7 linked regions of the Kluyveromyces lactis genome follow. The protein of the gene in region 5 purifies or fractionates together with the protein of the main gene of each other region. This does not show direct contact. Links are inferred from orthologs where the notes say so. Each region holds a gene or a part of one and is shown on either strand. Other genes may lie near its edges. The genes, in order: MRT4, NOP4, RRP17, NUG1, ERB1, CIC1 and BRX1.

Region 1 (3,403 bases), on a different chromosome or scaffold from region 5:
ATGTACCGGCTTACAAGCGTGAAATTAATTTATTAGGATAAGGTATTTCCTAGTAGGATAGCATTGGTTAAGATTATTTTTCATCCTTATAAACCGATGGAAGATGTACTGCGTGATGTATTGGACCGTAACAAGAAAGTTCTAGTTATAGCAGTTGGCGTTAAGGCTCGAAGTTTCTTCGAGCAAGATCTACGGGAAAACAAGACGCATTTCTTTAACAGTATTGATGATATAGTCAGGGGACGATCCAACGTGCGGATTCTGTTCCTTGATAAATTACAGTATTTATATATGTACTTGACATATGTCGAGATTGAGCTCCAGAATAAAGGAAACACATCGATGTGCTATGAAGAAATTATCATCTACGGTTTAGAGTCCCTGTTAATGACGAAAGAACAATTGGAATCAGAAGAGACACAGAAAACTCTTGATCTGTCAATCTCCCAGCTGCGACATTGTAACCTCATCCTTCATGGATCGCTTCGACTGGAAAATCAGTACGCTGTGCGTATCAGAATGGTGTCAGCGACAGATCTGGGAATGATGTCTCAAGGTTGGAAGAATCTGACCGAATATTGGCAGTACGTGTATTCGATAAAGGATTCCTAGAGAAGAGATTAATGTACAAAGGAGAAATATATAGGTTATGATTATATATATATATTTATAGTTTATCACTGCAATGCTTTCTTATTTTTGGATTTATTTCGAATCCATGTTGATATTGATCTGTTCCACACTAGAAGTTTCGTTATCGTAGTATGCGGCAACCTTCACCCTGAATTCAGCAGCTGCTATACCAAATTGTTTCAAGATCAATGCTTGAGTAACATCTAGAGTTTTGCCCTTTTCACAGACCAAGTATGGAGATTCGATGGTAATCTTACCATTCTTAATTTTGGTTGGAATCTTGAACTTGTTTCTTAGAGTTGGTTCCAGAGAATGTATCATAGGCACATCTTCTTCTTCTGGGATTTGACCACCACGAGAGTATACAATACCGGCTGGAATGGTAAAAGACAATGGAGCCTTTGATTTTGGTCTGGAGAAATCAGCTCTCACATATGCCTTGAAGTAATCTTCCACTACATCGACAGGTTCGTTGGTAAATAATAGACCAGTAACACCAGAACAGTGCTTACATAGTTTGGCCAAGTTCTCCTTGTACTCTTCCTCTGGCTTTTCACCTAACGCTTTCACCAACACCTTCCTCTTACCCATGATTAACTTGGATCCAACCCAAGAACTTCTAATCTCTTGCAAAACTGGAGTTCTCACATCTTCCAAATGTAAAACCCAAGCGTATCTGAAAGAATCCAAGGCTTCTCTAACTTCATCGAATATCCTTTCCTTGTTCTCTCTACCCTTCTTATCGGTTTGGGCCAATGTAACCAACTTTGAACGCTTAGATCTTGGCATCGTATCTGGGTTGGTATATGTAGTAGCTTGATGATAAAGAGTAACGAAAAGTAAACAATTATCAGAACACTATTCAATTACAGAAGAGAGATAAATAAAGAGGAATACAACTGATAGAATATAGCGATTAGTACTGTTGATCAGTTTAAACTATGAAAGGTCCATCGAGTAGATGCGATGAGATGAGCTTTCTCAAACTGAAAAATTTGCGCCTTTCTTTTTCTTTCTAGTTGTGAGTCACGTGATTTGATTTTTCCAAACGGAAAGTAACGACCTCTGACACAAAGTGAATCGGTAAGACATATACCGGCTCTTTTGCAATGCTCTAGGGCCATTCTCATAAGCTCGGTTAGAGAGGTTTATTCTAAGGAACTGCAAAACCAAACTCCGGTATGAATTCCCTTGACTGATTTCTGAGTCTCTCACTCATTGCCAATGAGACAATAGATCTCAATTCAACACAAATATCAAGACTAGAAAGGCACAGATAGGGCATGATCGTGTATCGGGCAAGTAGATATAGTGGTAATGATTTAACCTATTACCGGAGATGTATTGTAAATGGGGAAGTAAACTTAGTCACGTGACTCATTACTTGTGGCGACGGGTATTGTGTATATTTTCCTCAGATAAAACCGCAGTGTACCGGACCAAAATGTACCTTAAAAGTTCAGAGTCAGGAAATTGCAATCTCAGTACATATTTAGCAGGAAACAAACTAGTTGGTTTGATATGAACAGCCGGCGAGTTAAACATACCTCTTGTATTGCTTGCCAAAGTCTAACAACCTCTAAGATACCAATTATTAAGGTGGTAAGAGATACCGGGTTGTGAACTAGAAATTTTAGATAGTAATTTTGCCTCTTATTTGTGATTTGAAACAGGAAAGGGTTTTGAAAAGATGAGTTATTACGATGGCGATGGCGACTATATCATATATGAAGATGCGAACGGTAGCCATGAAAGTGATGATGTTGAATCTGGCGAATATTCTTATCCAGAGGATGAAGATGATTTAGAGTTTGTCCATCACGATGATGATGATGATGAAGACGAAGACGGGGAAGAAGATGGATCGCAAGGAGAGCAGTTGGACGAAGATCAAGATGAAGATCAAGACGATGAGGAAGTAGAAGGTGAGATAGGGAATGTTTATCATGAAAGCCGTTCTGGGGACCGTGCGGACAGGATTTCGTTTCTACAAGATATTGTTTCTCGTCTAGCGGATCAAAGATCTGGTGAAAGTGGGGATGGTGATGTTGCTGAAGGCGAGGAAGCTGATTCGGAGCGTGCATTTGGACGTTCATTGCCAGATCTGTTGCAAGAACTAGGAAGGTCTGAAGGGTTTTTCGGTGTTAGCAGAGGAAATTCTCGGTATTTGAAATTGATTGAGAATGTGCTTCAAGCTGAAGACGATCCGTATATTGCTATGGAATCTCTCCGGGAATTATCTGAACAGCTATTGATGTTAAACCCTTTGATCGCTGATCGAATCATCCCATCTGGCAAGTTAATGGACGCTTTGATCCATGTATTGTCTAGCCCATTATTACAAGCAGAGTTGGAGTTACAATTAATTGCTTGTAGGTGTCTCTATAACTACTATGAGATGAACCCAGAAATGATAGAGGTTTCGGTTAATAGAGATATTATTGAGATATTGAGAGGGAAATTGAATGAGATAAGCTATATCGATTTGGCAGAACAAGTTTTGGAGTGTTTAGAGTTCATTTCAAGGGTACATGGATCTAAGATTTTAAGAAGCGGTACCCTTCTCTCTTGTTTGCAATATTTGGATTTCTTTACCGTCCATGCGCAGAAAAAATCATTATCTATCGTTGCGAACTCATGTGCTAGGGCTAAGGAAAGTGACTTCGAGGTGGTATCAGAGATTTTCCCCATCTTGAAATCTATCTTCCTAAATAGTACAAATCCAGTAATTTTGAAGCCAGTTCTCATAACACTTTACAGCATTTCAGGA
Region 2 (4,887 bases), on a different chromosome or scaffold from region 5:
ATCTTACCTTTCATTTTGGTGTCTTCATATGTGAACTTCACTCTCCTCACCGGCAGAAGCGAGTCATATTTAGTAATCTCTTTAAGGTTTGTATCAGAGTTTCCGTATACTCTATCATTCATTCTCTTCATAGCATAAATTCTCTGTCTCCTAACACCAGAAATAGAACCCTTAAACTTTAGCATTGCTATATCACTTCTTCGTCTGGTCTGGTCCTTAATTAAAGAATCTGACAGGGTATGATTTATTGGATGATCTTTTGGTTCTATTAGTGGAGATGGCTCTAGTGCATCCTTGCCCGAATATACGGACCAAATCCCATACCCTGTAGTATTTACAGACGGCAGCCCTAGAGAAAGGTTTAATTCGTGTAATGACGTGGTTGGTTTCCTGCTAATTCTTTCCAACCTGATTGTCTTGGAATGTAGCTTTGAGAATGCCAGTAATATAAGTTGTGAGTGAGTATCAGACTGCAACGAGTGGAAGATAATCGAGTGTCCCGGCATAATAGCAAAGTAGAACGGTTTGTGTGTATTGATAATAAGGTCGCCAGTTGATTCGAACAACTGAACTCGGCATATGTACATACTTAAATCATCGTTTTCCTCAATGTTAACATCCAATTCGTAAAGTCGTTTAAACTGTTCGCGCATACCATTGATAAGCTCATTCGGCTCCACATTTACGATAAATTGCTTTCCATCTCTATCCAAACATCTGGACGCTACCCATTGGTTAGTTGAAGTGTCACATAAAACAGACCAGATATCCAGTTGTGATAACTGTTCTCGAGATAAAGAAGGCCACCAACTCGTGACAGCCATATTAGCAATATTCCGTACCCCATGTTTTTTCACCAATTCAACTAAATTATCCGAGACCAGCTGTGAATCATTAATGGCATGTGTATCAAGCCAGGTAGTGATCAGTTTCACTATTGCCTGTGCACCGAGCCTAGCAAGTTTATTCTTTGTAACTGTAATATCTACATTATTATTGTCATTTCGAAGCGTGCGTTCCATCTTGGCCGTCCCAATAATATGCTGTTCACCGTCCATATAACACCATCATAAAAAGAACATAAGGATTAAGGGTCATCAAACCTTTCCATAGTTTCAGATTATAGTCGATGTTAAAATTCCATGCATTTTATATAGTATTGATTCTGACAAGAAAGTGAGAACAATCAACTAAATTGGTCTAACTGTCGTATAAGATTGACAGAATATCTTCATAGAACCAGGAAAGTTGTATTGCATCGGAGAACAGAGGTATTGAACAGCCGTATATGCCAGGAATATCCACACGTGATCTGTTCATCTCTTTAAATCTTACAGCTTTTCAGTCCGCTTGATTTCTTTTTGTCAAAAAATTTTAAAGCTCATCTCATCTCATCGCCCAAGAACCATTAGTATTGATATCTAGTATATATATAGTAGAAGGTTAATGAACACATTTATATACTTATTTTGTTAGCGTCTACATCAAACGACGCAGATTTGTGCTTAATATATCTGTGATGAGTGATAAGAAAGTTATTAAGGATGAAGGTCTTGATCTGAAGACGTTATTTGTTCGTGGTGTGCCGTTTGAGTCTACCGATGAAGAATTCGGTAACTTCTTCTCCCAATTCTCTCCTATCAAGCATGCTGTTATTGTCAAAGATGGTGAGGGTGCAAGCAGAGGATTTGGTTTTGTTAGTTTTGCAGTTGAAGATGATACTAAGACTGCTTTGAATCAGGCTAGAAAGACGAAGTTTATGGGACGTTTGTTGAGAATCGATATTGCCAAAAGAAGAGAACGTTCCCGTGGTAAAAAGGATGCGGATGAGGTATCATCAGCACCTTCCGTAGATAATGTTAAAGATGAGGAGGAAAGCAAACCCGAAGATGATAATGATTTAATGAAGGGTAAACCGAAATTAATTATCAGAAATATGCCATGGTCCTGTCGTGATCCGACGAAACTGAAGAAAATCTTCGGATTGTACGGTACCGTTGTTGAAGCTACGATCCCAAGGAAGAGAGACGGTAGATTATGTGGGTTTGCTTTTGTTACAATGAACAGGATCTCTAACTGTAAGGCTGCTATAGAAGGCACTAAGGATTTGAAGATCGATGGCAGGAAAGTGGCTGTTGATTTTGCAATTCAAAAGAACAGATGGGAGGACTATAAGAACGAACATAAGGAACTGGAAGCGTCTGATGAAGATGAGGAAGAAGAAGAAGAAGATGATGATGATGATGAGGATGATGGTTCTGATTCGGGTGAAGAGGACGCTGACAATCAGGACGACAAAGAAAAAGAAGAAAAAAGTGACATCGTCTTGGATTCTGATGAAGAAATCAGCGAAGAGGAGGAAACACCAGAACAGGATACCGTAAAGAAGAACAGAAAGGAAGATTTCTCTATTTTTGTGCGTAATGTTCCATACGATGCCACTCAAGAATCCTTAGAACGTCATTTCGGCGTGTTCGGCCCAGTAAAATACGCTTTGCCAGTGATTGATAAAGAAACTGGTTTGGCGAAGGGTACTGCTTTCGTTGCATTCAGAAGCGAAGATGCTTACAACGACTGTCTAAATAATGCTCCTGCTACAGGAAGTACATCCCTTCTAATAAGTGATGATGTTTCCCCAGAGTATGTTTATGAGGGTCGTGTTCTTGCAATTTCTCCAACTCTTGATAGAGAATCTGCTGGAAGAATGTTTGAGAGAAATGCCGAGAAGAGAAAAGAAGTTCTTGGTAAGGCACCAGGTGAAAAGGACAGACGTAATCTATATTTGTTAAATGAAGGTAGAATTGTTGCAGGTTCAAAGCTTTCACAGTTGTTAACTCCTGCTGATATGGAAGTCAGAGAAAAATCTTACAAGTTAAGAGTCGAACAATTGAAGAAGAATCCAACGTTACATCTTTCGATGACTAGATTGGCTATCAGAAATATTCCAAGAGCAATGACTGAGAAGGGTCTAAAGGCGCTAGCTCGTAAAGCTGTAGTAGAGTTCGCCAAAGAAGTTAACGAAAACAAGAGACACGCATTGAATAAAGAAGAAATCGTCAGATCTACTAAGGAAAAGTACAAGTTCATGTCTGAAGAAGAAATCGAAGCTCAAAAGAAGAAGGACAAGAAACAAGGTATTGTTAGACAATCTAAAATTATCATGGAAATTAAAGGATCTAGCGGTGGTAGAAGTAGAGGGTATGGTTTTGTTGAATTCAGGGATCATAAAGCTGCGCTAATGTGTCTAAGATGGTTAAATGCTCATGAAGTCAGTAGGGACGAAATCTTAGAAGGACTTACGGATGATGAAAAGAAACAGCTTGATGCAGACAGTTTCAAAAAAAGAAGACTGGTGGTCGAATTTGCTATCGAAAACGCTAACGTTGTGAAGAGAAGAAGAGAAAAGGTCAAAGAATCTAGATTGATATCTTTCAAGAGAAAAAGAGATGATGAAGAGAATAAAGAAGAAGAAAAAGTGGCTCAACCAGTAGAAGAGGAAACAAAATCTGGTCTAAGTAATAATATTAAACAGATTATTGGATCTAAACGTAGAAGAAAGAACAAGGGCCGTTCTTGAATGTAAACAATAGTCAAAGGCAAAAATTCAAAGCATTCCGAAGCAATGAAGTTTCTAGGATATAAAATCTGTATATTAAATAACATGCATTTCAATTATAGAATCATTTTCTCTTTTTCCGTGCTGATCCTCCGGTTGCAGTATTGCTTGTGGGGTTGTTTCCATTACCAGACACAGCAGCTGCAGCGGCAGCTGCCGCTGCTGCTGCCAAGATACGTTTGTTTACACCTAATCCGTTCATGTTCCCATTCTTATTATTATTGTTACCATGCATTGGTTGTTTTTGAGAGTGATTAGCTTGATTATTATCATTGCCGACATTCGTAATGTCGTTATCGTTTGTGTGAATGCGCCTTGGTGGGTATTTGTAGTTGAGACCCTCGAACACATTTTCACAGACAGGAGGGTCGCCGTTGGTGAAATAGACATGGTCTAAAGCGTCGATTGCATCGATTCTCTTGATAGGATCATACTGCAATAGACGGTAAAGAATGTCTAAAGCAGTCTTGTCCTTACCGCCAGCGGTCTGATACCATGCTGTTAAATTGTCACGATATTTTGGCATTTTTGCCAACTGAAGATATTCTGGATAACTGTCGATATTCGGCCATATTTTATGATCTGGCGAACCCATGACTTCCAATATTTTTTGAAACTGATTAGCTTGAAACAGAACACTCTTCTTGGACTCCATCTTGGCCTCTTCACCTTTAAAGATTGGCCTTAAACCGATGAGTTCTGCAAAAATACAACCAACAGCCCAAAGATCTATTGCAGGAGTATAATGTCGAGCTCCAAGTATAAGTTCTGGGGCACGATACCAAATTGTTACAATAACCTTATCACCAGTGTATAAAGTCTGTACCATGTTATTGAATTTTCTCGCTAGACCAAGATCACCGATCTTGACGCAGCCATCAACGGTAACCATAATGTTAGCGGGCTTTAAGTCTCTATGAAGAATCCAGTTCTGATGCAAATAAGAAACACCATCAAGAATTTGCCACATTATTGATTTGAGCATCCTTGGCGGTATTAGTCTCTTTTCAGGATGCGAATGAAAATGGATAATTTGTAAAAGATCATGTTCAGCAAACTCTGAGACCATGTAGATGCTCTTCTTCTCTAGGAATATTTCAACTAATTTCGTTAAATGGTTATTATCCAATTCTCTACAAAGTGACATCTCTCTGCATGCACTTTGTGAGATACCTGTGTAATGCTCGACACCTTCTCTTTCCGTTTTGAACTTCTTAATAGCATAGAACTGAATTTGAGAAGGCTTTCTGGAGTTGTTTGTTATACTCGAC
Region 3 (3,567 bases), on a different chromosome or scaffold from region 5:
TCAAGTCAATCTCTAGAGTCATTATACCGTGGCAATTGGTATGTATAATCTTATTCCAATACTCCTTCACTAATAACGTATCCAACAAATTGCTTTGGTTTTTTTTGAATGTTTCACCACTACTGGAGTTGTTTTACATATTTGCAATGATATTAAGGTCATCAGCAATGGTCGCAAGGTGCTTTAAAAGAATACTTTGGGTAGCTGACATTGAACCAAAGCCGTATAGGAATAACTATATTATAATTAGTGATACTTTGACCTCGTACTCTAAGCCATTGGTGGATTTAGCTATTTATGCCACTTTCCTTTTCCATGATCCAACAAACGTCAAGTGTCAAGTGGAAAGATATGAAAATGCTATATCGTTAAACATTGACGTACTTGTTGGAGTCTTGCCCTCATTGGTCAGAATGATTCAATCGTTAAGAGAATTTACAAGAGGAAGGTCTCAGAAGAAAGATGGTTCACAATTGTTCAATGCTTTTAAGTATGCTGGTAATATTCCTATCATGCTAGTTACAGTCTATACAAGATATTACAACCTGGGCCCACTTGGAATGATGTATTGGTTCATGTTTTGGAATTCCGCGTATTCATTCTGGTGGGATGTGACCATGGATTGGAAACTAGAGCTGTTCGATTTTGTGAATGGGGACACTAGTGTCAATAACAATAATAGTAGTAACAAAGCGGACGGTCTTTTAAGAAGCATTTTGTTGTACCGGAAAAATGCGTGGTATTATAGCGCTATGGCGCTCGATTTTATTTTGAGATTCGTATGGTTCTGGGAGTATATCAGTGGGCACTCTGTATTTTATGGGGAATTAAACATCTTTTGGTTACAAATTTTAGAGATAATCAGAAGATGGATTTGGTTATTCTTTAAAGTCGAGGTAGAATACATTGCAACAACAGAGGGGGGGAAAATGGATGAATGAGATGTTTAGAAAGAGAGGAAGATAATAAATAAAAAAAAAAGGTTAATTACTTCCTACGTTTATTATTGTTGGCCTTTCTTTGATTTTGTCTTCTCTCGTTCTTGGTCAAGTATCTGAACTTCTTATTCTTTTTACTCTTATTACCAGATTTTTCTTCAACTCCCAAAAACTTTGCATATTTCTTCGCACGTTCGATGCTTTGATCTAAAATTTGTTCCGATTTCTCTAACTTCACATTATTTAATTCCGCAAGGTACTCAAAATTGTCATTGGGCTCTAAGGGTTCGATGTCTACCGTAGTATCATCTAAGTAAGTCTGTACATATTTCTTTAAGATCGGTTTCACACTAACAGAGTCAGAATCCTCTTCTTCTTCTTCAGTTGCATCTCCGTTATCATCGGAAAATCCCGTCCATTCTTCAGCCTCTTCATCGCTTCCCTGTTTCCCATTTTCGGCTTCTTCGTCGTCGTCCTCTACACCGACATAATCACCGACATCTTTCATCGCCTGTTTAAAATCTTCAAGCTGTTTCTCAAGAGCCTTTTTTTTATCTGCTCTGATCTTGGCCCTTTCCTCGAGCCTAGCTTTTCTCTCTTGCTCTTGGATGAACTCCTTGGCTTTCTTTTGTCTATCAAGCTTTCTCTTATGGAACCCAGTTAAGTATTCCAACCGTGAGTCCTTATCGAACTTTACCTCATCAGCACCGAATTTCTTAGCAGCTTTCTGCTTGTAAGATTTACCACCGGTAAGAATCTCACGATTACTCTTTGCCACCATTTTCACTCTATATCCACACTGCTACTCTGTATCTTCTGCAGAACTTGAACCGGTCTCAGCACCACCTCAGTAAGTGAAAAGCCTATCTGCTTTCTTCAGCTCATCGCATCAGCAAGTTTTTCCGTTTTAATGCTTTTTCCAAATATTGAAACTTCGAGATACAGAAAGAAATACATAGATAACTATAACATGATTGCATAAGGGCAATCTAGCCGTCCTGACCTAATTTATCTAGACCAATTCATATGCTCTGCCATGCACTAAGTAGAAAACAAATCTAGGCGTATACCTGTGTAGAGGATCATTACTTAACTATTCAATTTCTGTCATTCTGTGCTTTCCTATCTATGTCTTTCCCATAGCTTTAATTTTCGGGTTCTATGAAATTTCAGTTCCAAGTTGCAGTGAAAGAAAGATATTTATACTCACTATACAGATGCGCTGTCAAGATAGACACCGGAGGTACCATTCAGTAACATCAGTGGGATATACGATACGCGTGATTATTCATAGCAGCCATGACTATGCGTAACGAATTGATACAGTTTGTAGGACAAATTCCACCGGTGACCCGAGGAATATGTCTCTTAATGGTGTTAATATGTTTGATCCAACGCTTGAACGTATTACCGTACTATTTCAGCGATTTCAAATGGTCTTTACGTGGTGTATTGTTCAAGTTCCAAATCTGGAGGTTGTTCACTAGTTTCCTCATCTTACCAAACGATGCCATGAAAGCATGTTTCGACCTATACGCAGTATACTCGAAATCGTTACATCTCGAATTAGTGCACTTCAGCAACAAATCCATCGATTATTTGTTTTACATATGTTTCAACTTTGCATTGATCGTCGTGCTCGTAGAAGCATGCCAGATCTCATACCCAGTGTTCACTAACGCATTCATAGGAATGATCCTATATACGTGGACTCTGGACAACAGCAACGTGAAGGTAATGTTCTACGGATTATTCCCAATCTTGGGTAAATATCTATCGCTAGTGCATCTTTTCGTTTCGTTCTTATTTGATGACGGGACCGATGGTTACAGCAGGTTTTGCGTCACAATGGTCGGGTTTTGTGCTGGATACGTTTACTCCTGCCTAGACACATGGACTTACGGTCCCTTGTACGGTTATCTGATGGGGAAGGACCCAGCGTACGGATTCTCTGGAAGAGGTCATTTCAGATCACCAAGATGGTTCTCCTCGATCATTCTATGGATAGGACGTGTCCTATCCATCACCTCCAAACCCGTTTCGTCATCAAACAGGACAGACCCCGTGACCAGAAGAAGGTTGAGAACCCCGTTAAAGAAAAGCACTTTCGCTGGAACTGGAAATAGATTAGGGACCAAAATAGACTGATTAAGGTACTAATAATCCGACATACTGTTATCTATATTATCTACATCTCCCTTGTGTATATATCATTTGTGTTATTTTATTTACCCCAGGTTTAATGGAAATATGTCGACAATGGAAAATTGATTTTGTATGATGGTTCTGCCTAAAAGCCCGTTATGGCGAGAAAATAGTTGATGATCAAAAAGTGTTGGAGCAAACGAATGACCACAGGGACCAAGAGTGGAGGTGAAGCACGTCTTGGGTACAGGATTGCAGAGAGTTACTGGTACAGGTTCGTTGATGATCACTCGGTTCGGACGTATATAACGGAATGGGCTCTTGTGTAATGAATGATCAGCAATTCGGATTTCTCGAGTTTCAGCCTTTTATGAATAAAACCATGTACAAATGAGCTAGTATTATTTAGTATATATATAGCTGCATTTCAGAAGTTAAGGACACCTTTCGCTTTTAATAGGTTTGTTCCGAAAATGGTTTCCTT
Region 4 (4,183 bases), on a different chromosome or scaffold from region 5:
ATGAAAGTCTCTGCACTTGTCTGTCCTGTGGTGATATTTGAAGTATCAATATTGGCAAACCCTCTATCATTCTTTTCTCTTAGAATGTTCTTGATGATGGTAAACGTCTTCCCGATTTCCTTCTTCCGCACGTTAGTCAAGGATAAGATTTCCTTGAAAGATCTCCCGACCTCTGCTCTCCGACATCCGACAAGAATAACTGAAGCCATGATACTTTCCTGTGATTTCCCCTTCAAGACTCTCTCTTCGAAGCATAATTTATAAGCTTCTTTAGCACAATCTTTAACAATCTTGGGCAGTTCTGCAGCATCACACATCATAGTAATCTTCGCATATGCAGCTTGCAACTCGTTATCCTTCTTGTCAACGATAGATTTCGACTGAGCCCTATTCAAATCCCTAGTAACTCTAGCATCACTTCCCTGGGCCTGCCCGATACGTGTGGTTAAATGGTTTCCATCCAACAAAGGATTTGAAGCTTCACCAACACGACTTGGATCGTCTCCATTCTGATCGTCATTGCTAAAAGTACGCCATTCTGACCTGGTATCCACAATTCTATCCGATAAGACTAACCCACATAATGCACAGACGATATCACCTTCACTAAACCGTTCCACAACTTTCGGAGGATAAACTTTACATTCGGGACACGATATAACAATGTTCAAATTTGGCCCCCTCCTTCTAGATGAGACAGCTACATTTGCTGAAGCTGCTGCTGGCAATGACATAGTTTCTCTTTTCTCTTGCCTCGGTATATGACTCAGAACAGCCTAAAAAAATAGCTGGAAACTGAACGGTAAGAAGTCGAATGATGAGCCGCTAAGATAACTAAACTTAGGCGCTGCTTTTGTTATAAAAGAACAGAAGAAATACCGATTAACCAACTAGTAGACGGACAAGACTGTGTAAGTTGCAACTGGATAGCTCCTTATCATTTTAGTTTCTCAATTTCTAAGCAAAAATGCTGGAAACTCGACGGAAATATATATCACGTGATAAACGCCACAGAAACAACCGTGGCATGTCTCTTGTTTACGGTTGATGAAAATTTTCACGAGATCCGGGTAACAAGTAATAACTTCGCAGTTATTACTACACTGACTGGAAGTAGAGAGGATGAGAGATGTGGTAAAACAAGTTCCACCCTCGCAACTTCGTATCGTATATCACGTTATATCAGTTCTTATTACTGAGATGATTTTTGTTCCCTGCTAGTGTCAAAAAAAACTGCGCAACGGCTACTGGGCTGCCTTTATATGTACTGACAGTTTCACTGCCCTTGACGGTATTACTGTATATATAATGTTAAATATCTGCCTGGAAGTGCTCATAGATATACCAAATACGTCCCAAATATTATTGACACAAATTATGGCTTGCGAGTAGCATAAGATTGCCTCGTAATTGACGAGTATCCACTGTGTTTCCACTGTCGTCCGCCAGCAAAAAGAAATTCTTTTCTACTTTGAAATTTTTCAGCTCTTCGAAATATGTTAAAACCTGCGATGAGATGAGATGAGATGAGATGAGACTTGATATTTACAGAACACCTGTTCAAGTAGATGTTTCAGTACTGTTTTCCGTGATAAGTTCACCGGAACAGCTAAGATATCTATAATCCAGTGCAGTAAATATACCTTTTTCCATTAATCAAAAGAGATGGTGAGAGTAAGAAAGAGAACTTCCAAGAGAACTTCCACTCGTATGAAGGAGGGTATCAAGAAGAAGGCTGCTGCTCAACATAGGAAAGAGCGGAAACTTGCTAAGAAGGATGTGACATGGAAATCCAATAAGAGTAAGGATCCAGGTATTCCGGCCAATTTCCCGTACAAGAACAGGATCATCGAAGAGATTGAAGCGAAGAGAAGAACTGATTTGGAGGAGAAAGAACGTAGAAAGCAGGAAAGGTTAGAGGCTAAGAGAAGAACTCGTGAACTAGGTGAAGATGTTGGTGATGACGATGAATCTATGGATGAAGATGAAAACGACGGCAACAATGGTCTTTCTGCTTTGTTAGAATCCGCTCAGCAAGCTGCAAAGGAGTACAATGGGGAAGGTATCGATGATACAATGAATGGAGAGCAAGAGGATTTAGAGGTTGCTGAATACGACGTAGACTTTTACGCTGACGCAGATGATGATGATTCTGAATTAGAAAAGTCTAGAAAGGCTTACGATAAGATATTCAAGACTGTGGTGGATGCGTCCGATGTTATCCTTTACGTGCTAGATGCAAGAGATCCAGAAGGAACTAGATCGAGAAGAGTGGAACAGGCCGTGCTTCAATCCCAGGGTAAGAGACTAATTTTGATCTTGAACAAGATCGATTTAGTGCCACCATACGTGTTGCAACAATGGTTAACCTTTTTGAAATCCTCGTTCCCTACTATTCCATTGAGAGCTGCTCCTGGTGCCACTAACTCCACATCTTTCAACAGGACTTTGACTCAGGCTACAACTGCTTCAAGCTTGTTAGAAGCTTTGAAGACTTACTCCAATAATTCAAACTTGAAGAGATCCATCGTTGTTGGTGTCATCGGTTATCCAAACGTCGGTAAGTCGTCTGTCATTAACGCATTGACCTCTCGCCGTGGTGGTTCTTCTAAAGCATGTCCAGTGGGTAACCAAGCTGGTGTCACTACATCTATGAGAGAAGTCAAGGTAGATAACAAGCTAAAGATCTTGGATTCTCCAGGTATTTGTTTCCCAAGTGAAAATAAAAAGATGAGTAGAGTGGAACAAGAAGCAGAGTTGGCCTTGTTGAACGCTCTACCTCCAAAATTCATCATAGATCCTTACCCAGCTGTGCTCAAATTAGTGAAGAGACTTTCTAAATCTGAAGAAATGACTGAAAGTTTCAAGAAGTTGTACGAATTACCACCTATCCCAGCTGCCGATGCAGACTCTTTCACCAAACAATTCTTGATCCATATCGCCCGTAAGAGAGGTAGATTAGGTAAGGGCGGTGTTCCAAACTTGGCCAGCGCTGGTATATCCGTTCTTAACGATTGGAGAGATGGTAAGATCCTAGGATGGGTTCTACCCAATGCTTCTAAGGAATCTGCTGCAGAACATGCTGCTACATCTGGTGAAGCTAACCAACCAACTCTAGGTACTGGTGCTGTCGCAGCACCAGCTAAGGTGGAACAAACGACCATTGTTCAAGAATGGTCCAAGGAATTCGATTTGGATGGTCTTTTCGCGTCATTGGATAACGCCATTGAAGCTGAACAAGACAACTTAGGTAATTGAGAACACAGAAAACGAATTATTCTGCATCTCTATGAAATACGATCAAGGATCCTATTGCTTATTTTATTTCGCATCGTTAAAGCTATAGATTTAAAAGCTTATGTATTAGGATGTGAATTTGAACACCCGTTTCAGTCCACGCACCTAATAGACAATACACATTTGTACACTACTACATATAAATGATTTAATATCTTCTTCGGCAAGACGTTTTTGTCATCTCTTTTCTTTAGGTAACAAACCTTTAAATAATACTTTAAATGCCTACTAAAATCAAAATGTTTAAAAGAGTGAAGAAGAGAAATAATCCGTGAGTCTACCATACGAACTCCAGGCTACACTATGTGTACAGCGTGACTAAATCTAGGGCCAAATATGCAGATCAATGTCAATGATAGATTGAATATAGGAGGTGAGTTTTGCACAGTACGATACATCGGATCATTGCCAGAATGGCCTAATATCGTTGCATATGGTTTAGAGTGGGACAACAAGCAAAGAGGTAAACATGATGGAACGTTAAACGGAGTACGATACTTCAGAACATCCGATGGACAGAGCAGTGGCTCATTTGTGAAGGAGACTAAACTAGATACATCTCGGCAAGAGAGAACATCGTTTGAAGGTGCATTATTGATGAAATACGGTGATACTTCATCAATCGATATTACCTACAAATTTGGGTCGAAAGAGACTGAGTCATATGGATTTGAGCATTTGAATGAAATGAACTCTGATTTTGACAAGTTGGAAAGTATCACGCTATCAGAAAACAACATTTTCCGAGCTTTCAAGACAACCTGTTCGAGCATTCCGTTTAATAGTGCTCATTCTTCTCTGCGATACCTTGATTTATCCTTCAATCTGTTTTCTGACATAAATGAGGTGTACCGCATACTGCGACTATTTCCATCTGTCGAGACTG
Region 5 (4,987 bases):
CGCCTTTTCTTTCTTCGGTGGATTTGAAAAGAATTTAACATTTTCGGATCTGACTATTAGAGTTCTTTAAACAGTACTTGTTGTAAATCAGATTTTGAACCTTGATTTTACACAGGAGAAATTTATGTTGAAAATACAAGTAAATATTGTTAACTAAACTTTGCTTTAGAGTCTACGCTGCGTCTCTTAACTAAAAGGCTGGCTACAAAATATCGACCTCTATTTAATATGGGAGAAGACGGTAAACATCACGCAGACTACTCTTCATTCCAAACAACAGACAGGAAAAAAGCTCTCGAGCAACTCTTGATTTCATATGAGGCTTTAGCAGAAGGTCAAGACAACTGGGTCTGCAATCTGGCGAACGCCGCATCATTAATCTGGCATTGTTACATATCACTTAATGTTGACGTTAACTGGGCTGGGTTCTACCTCACTCGGAGAGAGAATAAAAAAGAGTTGATTCTTGGGCCATTTCAAGGCAAAGTTGCTTGTCAGTTGATTCAATTTGGTAAAGGAGTGTGTGGTACTGCTGCGTCTAGTCAACAAACTCAATTAGTACCAGATGTTGAAAACTTCCCAGGGCATATAGCATGTGATGGGGAGACAAAGAGTGAAATTGTGGTTCCTATAGTCCAAAATGGCGAAACAGTAGGTGTTATCGATATTGACTGTTTGGACTACAACGGGTTTACTAAGCTTGACCAAGAATTTCTAGAAAAATTGGCCGCTTCAGTTTCAAAGACATGCGTATTCTAACTCATTAAGTAGTTACACTCGTTAATTATATTCTCTCAATTGATATCACAACTCTTGACCGTATATGAAGTTGCCTGTTATTGCATACCTAACATAGGGCATGCTGCCCCAGGTCCAGTGGAACAGAAGTTTTCTAGTTTTCAATGAAAAAAATGATTTCGCCCAGGATCGAACTGGGGACGTTCTGCGTGTTAAGCAGATGCCATAACCGACTAGACCACGAAACCATCTTGTGAGGTCTGTCGTAATATAGACTGAAGACAAGCCAGACGAGAGGTCATGTGAGCTAGCCAGCACACGGCAGAGTTCCAAGACGTCAGTGACTGGGCATATGGATCCTGTGGTATCCAGAAGGGATGGCCTAGATGGATCATAGACGGTCACGTGATGGTCTTGAGTGCGCGTGGAGGACGGTAGCTGCAGAGGACCTACAAGGGCATGGAGGCAATGAGTTGCCATGACGAAGTCTGACGACCATCCGAGTATATAAGTCGAGTATAAAAGGCTGAGCTATGTTGCGACCTCTTGGGGAGGTTGGACGCATATACTCAACGATCTAACTAAATAGATTATTATATTATATTCGTTATATTGTTTGATATCAACGATCCCTCATCAGGCGATTAATCAATCAACTATCATCCAAGGCATATCACAACAAGATCTGAGAGAACTACATGAGTATATGTTACATCGTTAAGAGTTTCTGAAGAAACGAAATAGGTCTCTCTTATCAGCGCCCCAAATTGGAATAATGAAGTTTACTGGAAATAGCTTCTTCAATGATGAAATTACAAACTTGAAAACGATGTTGCATCTACTAGAATAAAACTAAGATAACTGTCTATGATGCAAAAAAAATAAGAGTTAAGAATTACATTCATTGTAGGCTAGCGACCAAAGTAAATATCTTCAACGTAAGTAGAAGTATATGTGGAGTTGATTGAATACCAGTTCCCTATCTTTGCTGAAGGGTACTTTGACTTTTTCAAAATAGCATTCTTGTTCAAAACTTTGTAGAAGTAATTAATGTATCGTAATTTTCTTTCTTTTTGTTTCTTAAAATTTTCAATTTTCATCTTGAGAGATGAGATGAGATGAGCTGAAGTGAATAGACCACAGAGATAACCAGTACTTCTCAAAGTTAACGGCATCAGAAGAAGCTCTGAAAGTATAGAGAGCCAGAAAACAATACCAGAAACTATGGCCAGAAAGAATTCTTCTTTGAATGGTTCTGAATCAGCGGAGCTTGTTGTAAAAAAGAGAGTTCTCGAGGAATCTGAATTGTCCGATTCTGAAGATGAAAGAATTGAAGTTGATGGTTTAATCGATGAAGAGGCTAGCGAAAATGAAGCTGAGGAAGCTGAAGATGACGACTCTGATGCTGAATTCAATCGCTTATTAGCTGAAGAAGAAAATGGACAGGAGGAGGAGTATAATACTTCAGATTTTTCTGAAGAAGGCGATGCTTTTTCCATTACCGACAAATTGTCAAATGTAAAGTTAACAGTGATTCCAGAAACAAGCGATGAAGGCATTGTTCGTACCAAGTATTCAGATGGAAGACCAAGAATTCTTAAGTCAGAAATTAATCCTGTTTATGATAGTGATGATAGTGATGCAGAAGCTAAGAACACAATTGGTAACATCCCACTATCTGCATATGATGAAATGCCACATATTGGTTATGACATTAATGGTAAGAGAATAATGAGACCAGCCAAAGGATCTGCTTTAGATCAATTATTGGAATCTATAGAATTGCCAGAGGGTTGGACAGGTTTACTAGACAAAGACAGCGGTGCCTCTTTGAATTTGACCGAAGAAGAACTTGAATTAATCAATAAGTTGCAAAATAATCAACAGACGGACGAATCTGTGAATCCATACGAACCTTTAATCGACTGGTTCACTAGACACGAATCTGTAATGCCAGTTACGGCCGTCCCAGAACCGAAAAGACGTTTCGTTCCGTCAAAGCACGAAGCCAAGCGTGTGATGAAAATAGTCAAAGCAATCAGAGAAGGTAGAATTATCCCACCAAAGAAACTAAAGGAATTAAGAGAAAAAGAAGAACAAGACAGTCATAACTACGATCTCTGGGGAGATGCCGAAGAAATCTCTGAACATGTTATGAACTTGAGAGCCCCAAAATTGCCACCACCAACAAATGAGGAGTCTTACAACCCTCCGGAAGAGTATCTTTTGACCCCAGAGGAAATTGATGCATGGGAAAAGATGGAACCAAGTGAAAGAGAGAGAAATTTTGTGCCTCACAAATTCGCTGCATTAAGAAAAGTTCCAGGTTACTCTGAATCTGTCAGAGAAAGGTTTGAAAGATCATTAGATTTGTATTTAGCGCCTCGTGTTCGCAAAAATAAGTTGAACATTGATCCTGAATCTTTGATCCCAGAATTGCCCTCTACAAAAGATTTGAGACCATTTCCAATCCGTTGCTCTACCGTTTATGTCGGTCATAAAGGAAAAATTCGTACAATGTCCATTGATCCAACTGGATTATGGTTGGCTACTGGTTCCGATGATGGCACTGTCAGAGTATGGGAAATTCTTACAGGTAGAGAAGTTTACCAAGTCACAATACTTAATGCGGAAGAAAACAATGATGACCACATAGACGTTGTTGAATGGAATCCCGACAGTACTACCGGTATCCTTGCGGTTACTGCTGGCGAAAACATCTTCTTGCTTGTTCCACCAATTTTCGGCTTTGAAATTGAAAACACAGGTAAATCAAAGATTGAATACGGTTTTGGTTTCGATACTTTCGGAAACGTCAAAAAGAGTAATCTCAATGTGAATAGCGATGATGAGGATGACGGTGCTGAATCACATGCTGTCAAGAAACAGGTTGCTCAATGGAATAAACCAACCGAAAGGCAAGCTGCCAATGATATTTGTATCGTAATAACTTGTCGTAAATCAGTGAAAAAGCTTTCATGGCATAGAAAAGGTGATTACTTTGTCACTGTTCAACCAGACTCAGGTAATACATCAGTTTTGATTCATCAATTATCCAAGCATTTAACTCAATCGCCATTCAAAAAATCTAAGGGTATCATTATGGATGCAAAATTCCATCCATTCAAGCCACAGCTCTTGGTCTGTTCTCAAAGATACGTCAGAATTTATGACCTATCGCAACAAGTGCTAATCAAGAAACTTCTACCTGGTGCTCGTTGGTTATCTACTATTGATATTCACCCAAGAGGTGATAACTTAATTGCATCCTCGTTTGACAAGAGAGTGTTGTGGCATGATCTTGACCTTGCAAGCACTCCATATAAGACCTTGAGATACCATGAGAAGGCTGTAAGAAGCGTAAGTTTCCACAAGAAACTACCACTGTTTTGCTCAGCTGCGGATGATGGTAACATCCATGTTTTCCATGCCACGGTCTATGACGATTTAATGAAGAACCCTATGATCGTCCCGTTGAAGAAACTAACCGGCCACAAGATTGTGAATAGTTTAGGTGTTCTAGATACTATATGGCATCCACGTGAAGCTTGGCTATTCTCTGCAGGTGCCGACAAAACCGCTCGTTTGTGGACTACCTGATAGAACCCTCATGACGGGATATTTGTAAAACACTGTATACTATGGACATCATTACCTATCAATATTACAAGTAGATACTTTCTAATTAGTGTTCAAGGGAATACATTATTATCTTTGGATCAGAGCTCAAAAGGTATCCATGTCTCTCATCATTGCCATTTCCTCATCTGATGCGATATCATTACCGTTATTTGTTGTGCTGGCAACGGTCGTAATTTTACTCAATTCGTCTAACTCTTCAGCGTTAGGCAGAGCGTAGCCATTTTGTGTATGTTGCCGTATGTTTGTATCAGTGGTGGACAACATTTCATTCGTGTGCCGCTGGTGATGCGAAGAATATAGAACATCATCATCATCATCATCATCATCATCATCGTCATAGTTGCCGTCATTATTCTGATTTTTGTCTTTGTCTAGGCTGATAATTTTGGTGGCTTCATAACCATACTGTGCATTTCCGCGGTCAGTCGCTGAGGTAGATTCATCCGTTACAAATAAGCTATTTCGTCCCTGATGAGCAGGTAGTACGCCTGTGTCGTGCATTTGCATATCAGGTACGTTGGGAATGTCATCTCCGAGGAGGATACCCATGTCTTTCCTAACTAAATTCATTCTATACTCTCTTAGCTCTTTGTCAGTTTTCCCCAAT
Region 6 (3,695 bases), about 430 kb from region 5:
AATGTCAGCTTCAGTCTCATCAATTCCAAGTAGAGGTAGAGGATCTTCATTCTCTTTATTTACGTCAAAATCCACTTCTTGTTCCTCGGTTAAAAACTGGTTATTCATATCCAAATCATGAGCTAAAAGATGTGTTTTAATGATTCCTAAATCAACAATAATCCCAGTATGCTGTTGTTGTATTAAATCTAACTTAGATTTTAACAGGGCAATTTGACCATTGACACTTTGACACTTGCTATTACACACTGCGTCGCATAAAACGTTCCAATCAGTTTGTAAAGTGTCTACTCTGCTTTGGAATGTATGAATTATTCGTTCAATATTCTGTGGCATCTCATTTGATTCTCGGCGTCTTCGCAATGCAATCAAAACTTGAAAATACTAATTGATTCAGATGTAAATAATAGTGTATATACTAAACTACGAATAAGCACGAATAACAGAGGTGATGATGTGAAAGTTTGTGAAATCTGTGGTTTATATAATATTTGACATATGTTTAATATAGTAATTAAATCTTTTTGTGACACTTTTATTTTTCGTTTTTCCTTTTCCTTCACTGACTGCATGGACGCACCAGTCCACACAGAAAAACCAGCAAACCTAAATGTGGCACATCAGAAAAGTTGTTCGAGCGGCGATGGGTTTGCACCATCCAAACAATACTAGGAATAACGTTTTCCTGCTGGTTCGAAAACGCACTGAATTTAACTACTGTTATTCTTTTATGAATTGCAAAGTATCGATGCTATCTGGAAAATTTGAGTACAGATTAAATACATTTTGTAGGGAAAACTATCATTGTAGGAGCGGTGACAGCCGTTAAATCTATGCTAAATGGGTAAGTTTTAAGACGATATTTGTGAAGGATAGAAATTAAGAAAGAGGAATGAAAAAAAACGCGATACTCCTGTACCTCTAATTTTTTACGTTTTTATTCTTTGTCTTTTGTCTTTTAGCGCTGGATTTTTGTTCTTTCGTTTGCTCTTTCTTTTGTTCTTCTTGCTCTTCTTCTGCCTCGACCTCTTCCAAGTTTCTTTTGGCTTGCTTAATTTGCGTAGCAAACAAGGAGTCTAGTTCGTCTGGATTTGCAATTTCTAACAAAGATTTCTCAAATTGTGATAGTTGCAATTCGACACCATCAATTTCTATGACATTTTGAACGGAAGTCTTAGCATCATGTCTGGACCCAACCAATTTGTCTAATACTTCCAAATTAACGTATAATGGAAGGACTGGTGATTCGTTAGATTTGAGAAGAATGGTTCTGATATTGTACTTTTCGATGAACTGTTTAGCGACAGAAATGATATTTTCAGTCAATTGTTCTGGGGTGAACCATTCCAATGAACCTAGATGAACATTCATCGTGTTACCTCTTGGAAGTTTGACTGGGATTTTAGTATCATAAATTCTCTTGATGCTATTTACCAAAGTTGTCTTGTTAAACTTGTTATCCGATCTTGTGTTAATGGCAATTGGAGTGGTATTCAACTTACTGTATGCTTTACCACCTAATAGCTTGGGCAAAGCTGTCACTATCGAGTCATCAGCTAGAATGAAAGAAAAATCCTGTACAAATGCACGCCTCTTTTCAAAAGCCTTGTATTTTGTCTTCAAATCTTTACCAGATATGATGGCATCAATAGTAATATGTTCTGGAAGTAGATCGATCAAGTCTTCTGATGTCACTGAATTGATATCAGAATCTTTTAGAATCAAAAGAGTCTTGAAATCTTTAACCATGGTGGTGCTAGCTTCCTTCCATGGCTTGAAGATAGAATGAGGAACTGTAATTAGTTTTGGTTTGAAGTTTTTCAAAGAACCAGTAAAAGATTCAGTGTTGACTAGGATCAACTGTAGCTGAGCCTCCAATTCAGAATCATCAATTAACTGATTGTCATTTGATCCATTTTCCTTCAAATATTCTTGCAATTTAATAACAGCATTGTTAACTCTGTTAACTGGAATGACTTCTTCCTCTTTACTGCCCTTAGTAGCCTTGGTGGCTTTGGTCGAAACCTTGCTTTTCTTAGTTTTAGTTGCCATATTATCTAAACTTTGATATTGCTTATAATGTGCTTGTAGATATACTAGACTGGATGAGTGGAGTTATTTCCTCTATATTCTGGATTCTTTCCAAGCGTTTTTTAACTTACTTGATTCGCACTGTCTCAGAAAAAGATCAACAAATTGTTGGTTCACCTAGGTAAGCTTACTTCTCGAGTTCGTACTGGCAACTATGAAATATCCAGTATATATCTAATCAATCCTTTGAGCTGAGAAATAAGAATAGGTACTTAAATACTTTACATACCATTACTTTATTAATCGTGTTAGGTGTGCAACATACTTCGAGATGAGATGAGATGAGCTATGATGAGATGAGCTCTCTATTGTCAAAAATAAAAATTTTCTGTTTCGCAGGAGCTCCACTGTGTTCACGTAGTTAGTAAATATTGCTTTTTGAAAGCGAAGGCCGTAATATATGATTTGAAACTTTTCTTGAAATTTGATAACATTTGACACTTAAGAAATAAAGAGTAACCGAATCTGATATTGAATCTCGGTGCGTGTTTGTGCAAAAGTTACTAATGAGCAACGGGCTACGTTCAGTGAATGGGGTTACAATACAAAAGGGCTTAAACTGTGTATTTTAGGGTTTCTTTCTCTGGTTTATTTCGGAACAGTACTATTTTTGAGTTAGGTTTTTTCGGCTGTCAAACAGGACTCACGATCGATATAAAGGATACCTTAACAGAGAATACGCCGCACGAATCTGATTTATGAGTTATTAAGTTGCTATTATTATTATTATTATTATTATATCGTAAACATAGTCATCGTCCCCGTTCATTTATACTGCAAAAGGCATATTAGCATATATTAATCAAATCTAGCCGCAGGGGTAAGCATACGCTCTCACAAGACAAATAAGAAGAGCATTAGACATGGGTAAGAGAAAGAAGTCATCCAGAGGTCCAGCCAAGAAGATAGTACAGAGGTTAGATACGGCATTCAATTGTCTCTTCTGTAATCACGAACGCTCTGTGAGCGTAACAATGGACAAAAAGAATAACATTGGCTCGCTTCATTGTAAGATTTGTGGACAATCGTTCCAAACCCGCATTAATGGTCTATCACAACCGGTAGATGTATATAGTGACTGGTTTGATGCGGTTGAGGAAGTTAACGAAGGGAAACATAGCGAATCTGAAGATGAAAACAGTGACAGTGACTACGAGAGTGACTCTGATACTGAGCCTTCTTCAAACCGTAGAAAAGCTGTTGGAATAGATTCTGACGAAGAAGAAGAAGAAGAACAAGAAGAAGACGAAGATGCGGATTACGGAAGAAAAGGAGCGACCGAACGAAAAGACTCAGAACCAGAATCAGACTCAGACGATGACGGTAAAATATCTAACAAAAGAGGAAGAGCAGCATGGATGGACAGTGATGACGAGTAGTCGAACCGACAGAAACACAGACATCGAACACCAATATTAATCTTACAATTGTATCTATCTATCTATATATTACCCAGAGATATACTAGTAGAACGAATAAAATCAGGTATAAAGGAGCTGATATTTACGTTCAAAGAGATTGCTGGATCTTATCTGTTTCCTATAAGAATTTATATAACGCTCACCTTGGCTTTAACCATCGGTTGATAGTATTCAGTTTGTACT
Region 7 (3,546 bases), on a different chromosome or scaffold from region 5:
AGTTAGAGTAATCTGTCTTTGGCTTTGTTGACAAAGATTCCTTATGTTTCAAGAACAATTCCAAATTATCACCTTTGCCGAACAATTGAGCAACAGCTTTGTCGTGTATCAGCCCCGAAGGCAGCTTTGAAAACATGGTCTCGATTTTCACTGGGTTCAATTCCAAGCTATGAAGATCGATTGGACAACTAGGTTTATCATGATATTTCTCGATGAACTGAAACAGGTAGTGATCTAGCCTATCGTCATAAAGTTTTGCTGCTGCGACTCTTGCTAGTATGTAATTTCTCGTATTCTTGATTTCCAAAACTTCCAATAACTCATCGAATGACTTGCCAAGTTTGTAACTTGCATCTATAATCTTTTGCAAAATACCATAATCGTCAAGGTTATTCAATAACGAGATTCCATGTTTCCAAATGAGTTTATAATCGTCTAATTTCACCAAATGGCCCATAAGGAAGTTTTTCAAATAAAGGTCTAAGTAAGTACCATGTTTCCAAAACTTGAGGATCTCGTCCACGATCTCCTGTGATTTATCCTCAAACAATTCACAAACTTTACAGAAAACGATCAACTCTTGCTCATTCTCAAAAGGTTTCAAATCGCTTGTCAATTTATATGTCAACTTAGGTAAAAGATCCAATTCCCTTTCGTTAATGTTATCTTTATCCAACTGAAACCATACTACAGTAGCAATACTGTTCCAGAATTGGAACAATCTCGATTTCGATTTTTCATTGACTCGTGGCATCTGGAAACTACTCTTACTCAAATGTCTCCAATTTAAATCCCTCAATGACTCCAAGAACCAATCATAACATGTCTCCGAATTACCGTATTTCATCATTGCTCTTTCATAAGGTTCCAATGCACTGGTGGTGTCAAAACCTAATTCCAACAAAAATCGATGGCACATTGATAGCGATTTCGCATCGCTTGGAGGAGATTTGGCATCCAAGATCAACTTTAACCCATTTTCAAAACTATATTTCGCAGGAGATTGCCTGTACTTGACATATTGCTCTAACACTTTGTAATAAGTGGCGGATGGGTACCGTTTCTGCAATGATGCAACAAACTGTGAAGCTTTCTTAAACAGTTCCCTATCTAATAGCTGAAAAAGCTGATGATCTTCAGAGTTCATATCAACAGTTTCCACTCTTCGTGTTGGTCGATATCAAATCTAACAGATCAAACAGCAACGAACACCGTTACTGCCAGACATACCGGGTTGTTCTACGAACGACGTGCGTATGAGGTTGTTCATTAGAAGTTTGAATGCTGAATTAAGCCAATATCGTAATTTTTCAGTCTTGATTACCCGGATAATAAACTATAACTGTATGTGTATCCATAAATGTAAACGGCACAGCCTAACAAGGGCATCAGCGCTCTTACTGCTTGAAATATAAACGCAAGACCTCACCATACAATCCCCACCCGCGTTGAATCTGATAGAAGCCAGTTGGCAGACGATACGAACATTTTCTTTTCGAGAAACTATCCTTTTCTATTTTAAATCATCACTGATGAGCCTTAGTTTCTTTTTCGGTACATTGAAAATTTTTGAAAAGTTAGAAAAGGCGATGAGATGAGATGAGATGAGATGAGATGAGATGAGAAGAGGTATTGAACAAGGTTGTCCTGATCCTTCCAATCTATACATCGTCGGTCTAAACACTTTGAGATTATTGTATTACACTTGAGTAGTTGGAAGGAAGAAAAAGCCAAGAACTGCTAAGCAAATCCTTCTATAATGTCGAGTATTTTCAAGACTTTGTCTCGTAAGGATAAAGACGGTAAGAAGAACAAAAATAATGCGGCTAACAGTGACAGTAATGAGAAACAGTTCATGAATAAGCAACGTACCTTACTTATTACGTCCAGAGGTGTTACTTATAGACATCGTCATTTGGTTCAGGATTTGAACAGTCTTCTACCACATTCGAGAAAGGAACCTAAGTTGGACACGAAGAAGGATCTAGGACAATTGAATGAGATTGCGGAATTGTACAACTGTAATAACATTATATTCTTTGAAGCTAGAAAGCACCAGGATTTGTACCTATGGCTATCAAAGCCACCAAATGGACCAACAATCAAGTTTTATTTGCAGAACCTACATACCATGGACGAATTAAACTTCACTGGCAACTGTTTGAAGGGATCCAGACCAATATTGTCATTTGATGGTAGATTTGATTCTGAACCGCACTACCGTTTAATTAAAGAACTTTTTATCCATAACTTCGGTGTACCACCTCAAGCTAGAAAGTCCAAGCCATTCATTGACCATATCATGTCTTTCAGTATAGTTGACGAAAAGATCTGGGTAAGAACGTATGAGATCTCGCATGAAGCTAGGAACAACGTTGAATATGAGGATAAAGAAGAAGATGAAACGTCGTTAGTTGAAATTGGCCCACGTTTCGTGATGACACCGATTTTGATCCTTGAAGGTTCATTTGGTGGTCCAAAGATCTACGAAAACAGACAATACGTATCGCCAAACTTCGTTAGATCTCAAATTAAACAACAGGCTGCCAAGGAAGCTAAGACCAGAGCCGAAGCTGCTGTTGAAAGGAAACTAAAGAAGAGAGAAAGTGTCTTGGCTGTAGATCCATTATCCAACGATGCATTGTTCAAAGATTAAAGTACAATCCAGAACTCTAGAAAAAATCATGATTTATATATTGTCAACTTAGGAGAACGGCGTTCTTCCTGCTCAGACTTGTACATATGTATACTCCTATATATATGCTTTTGAATGGGCTGTTTTTGATAATATAATTTTTCGTTTTATTCCTAACTATACTATACGTTAAAGTCGTACATGAATATTTAATTTATTTAGTTAACTTGGGGGGCCAGAATACCAGTTAAACTTGAAGCGTCATGAAACGTCATGGGGAAAACGTTTTTACATTTGGTGTGAACCACAGTGTGCTGTTTGAAATGTTTTTTTTATCATTTGTTTGAATTTTAATAGATTTATTAATATTTTACTTGCCCAATGCCATTGCATTCTTCTATTCCCCAAATACGAAGATGTTATGCGTAGTAATAACAAATCATACTGTATAATTTTCAGGAAACGTGAATTGAACAGTCAAGTGGGTAGAATTAATAAGGAAGTAAAAATGTCCTGACTTTTATCTTTAGTGCTTTTCAGCGTTGGCAGTATGCTTTTCCAAGTAAGCCTTGATGAAATCTTCCTCACCCTTAGAGGAAGTAGAGTATAATGGCTTGGCTGGTTGCTTAGACTTGAATGGGTTTGGAATAACCAACAATAATACAGCACCTAAAGTCCCTAGGGCCAATTGATGTGGTTGAACAGTTCTACCCAAAATTGTGTATGCAGCACTCATCGTATATCAAATTATTTTCTTGGTCTATATTCTAACAGAGTGAATCTCGAACAAAGGTGTATAGGATACCACTAATAACGCATCTGATCCAGTGCAAAAGTTCGCTCAAAACCGCCTTGTTCTTTCTAGTGAGAAGAATTCGAAACTTTGAAATTTTTCAGCTTTGAGAAAGGAA

What was found.
Region 1: the proteins of ERB1 (region 5) and MRT4 purify together in Saccharomyces cerevisiae (affinity purification with mass spectrometry; 3 studies listed by BioGRID, with this or other methods). This does not show direct contact. The link is inferred for Kluyveromyces lactis from reciprocal best matches to the Saccharomyces cerevisiae genes ERB1 and MRT4.
Region 2: the proteins of ERB1 (region 5) and NOP4 purify together in Saccharomyces cerevisiae (affinity purification with mass spectrometry; 4 studies listed by BioGRID). This does not show direct contact. The link is inferred for Kluyveromyces lactis from reciprocal best matches to the Saccharomyces cerevisiae genes ERB1 and NOP4.
Region 3: the proteins of ERB1 (region 5) and RRP17 purify together in Saccharomyces cerevisiae (affinity purification with mass spectrometry; 4 studies listed by BioGRID). This does not show direct contact. The link is inferred for Kluyveromyces lactis from reciprocal best matches to the Saccharomyces cerevisiae genes ERB1 and RRP17.
Region 4: the proteins of ERB1 (region 5) and NUG1 purify together in Saccharomyces cerevisiae (affinity purification with mass spectrometry; 9 studies listed by BioGRID, with this or other methods). This does not show direct contact. The link is inferred for Kluyveromyces lactis from reciprocal best matches to the Saccharomyces cerevisiae genes ERB1 and NUG1.
Region 6: the proteins of ERB1 (region 5) and CIC1 purify together in Saccharomyces cerevisiae (affinity purification with mass spectrometry; 5 studies listed by BioGRID). This does not show direct contact. The link is inferred for Kluyveromyces lactis from reciprocal best matches to the Saccharomyces cerevisiae genes ERB1 and CIC1.
Region 7: the proteins of ERB1 (region 5) and BRX1 purify together in Saccharomyces cerevisiae (affinity purification with mass spectrometry; 4 studies listed by BioGRID). This does not show direct contact. The link is inferred for Kluyveromyces lactis from reciprocal best matches to the Saccharomyces cerevisiae genes ERB1 and BRX1.

What each region holds. Positions count from the first base shown.
Region 1 is NC_006038.1:1,184,104-1,187,506, forward strand, and holds MRT4 (mRNA turnover protein MRT4), read right to left. Parts: upstream 1,423-3,403; coding exon 706-1,422; downstream 1-705. Other genes in the region: SHU1 (Shu1p), read left to right, coding at 97-612; putative ubiquitin-protein ligase UFD4, read left to right, coding at 2,324-3,403. UniProt on the Saccharomyces cerevisiae protein: Component of the ribosome assembly machinery. Nuclear paralog of the ribosomal protein P0, it binds pre-60S subunits at an early stage of assembly in the nucleolus, and is replaced by P0 in cytoplasmic pre-60S subunits and mature 80S ribosomes.
Region 2 is NC_006040.1:1,003,560-1,008,446, forward strand, and holds NOP4 (mRNA-binding ribosome biosynthesis protein NOP4), read left to right. Parts: upstream 1-1,519; coding exon 1,520-3,577; downstream 3,578-4,887. Other genes in the region: CHL4 (Chl4p), read right to left, coding at 1-1,058; cyclin-dependent serine/threonine protein kinase SSN3, read right to left, coding at 3,681-4,887. UniProt on the Saccharomyces cerevisiae protein: Required for 60S ribosomal subunit synthesis. Probably involved in the processing of 27S rRNA to produce mature 25S rRNA.
Region 3 is NC_006037.1:186,434-190,000, forward strand, and holds RRP17 (rRNA-processing protein RRP17), read right to left. Parts: upstream 1,720-3,567; coding exon 988-1,719; downstream 1-987. Other genes in the region: ERD1 (Erd1p), read left to right, coding at 1-941; DFM1 (Dfm1p), read left to right, coding at 2,238-3,086. UniProt on the Saccharomyces cerevisiae protein: Essential protein involved in ribosomal RNA processing.
Region 4 is NC_006040.1:1,173,152-1,177,334, reverse strand, and holds NUG1 (RNA-binding GTPase NUG1), read left to right. Parts: upstream 1-1,665; coding exon 1,666-3,258; downstream 3,259-4,183. Other genes in the region: SUA7 (transcription factor TFIIB), read right to left, coding at 1-734; PAC2 (Pac2p), read left to right, coding at 3,634-4,183. UniProt on the Saccharomyces cerevisiae protein: GTPase required for 60S ribosomal subunit export to the cytoplasm.
Region 5 is NC_006042.1:2,459,914-2,464,900, forward strand, and holds ERB1 (ribosome biogenesis protein ERB1), read left to right. Parts: upstream 1-1,962; coding exon 1,963-4,338; downstream 4,339-4,987. Other genes in the region: KLLA0_F26587g (L-methionine (R)-S-oxide reductase), read left to right, coding at 229-759; CSM3 (Csm3p), read right to left, coding at 4,465-4,987.
Region 6 is NC_006042.1:2,032,214-2,035,908, forward strand, and holds CIC1 (Cic1p), read right to left. Parts: upstream 2,053-3,695; coding exon 922-2,052; downstream 1-921. Other genes in the region: KLLA0_F21824g (transcription activator GCR1-like domain-containing protein), read right to left, coding at 1-336; ELF1 (Elf1p), read left to right, coding at 2,955-3,470. UniProt on the Saccharomyces cerevisiae protein: An adapter protein that specifically links the 26S proteasome to its substrate CDC4 which is one of the substrate recognition subunits of the SCF E3 ubiquitin ligase complex. Required for turnover of cell cycle regulatory proteins CDC4 and GRR1.
Region 7 is NC_006041.1:1,576,975-1,580,520, forward strand, and holds BRX1 (ribosome biogenesis protein BRX1), read left to right. Parts: upstream 1-1,759; coding exon 1,760-2,656; downstream 2,657-3,546. Other genes in the region: MDM20 (Mdm20p), read right to left, coding at 1-1,147. UniProt on the Saccharomyces cerevisiae protein: Required for biogenesis of the 60S ribosomal subunit.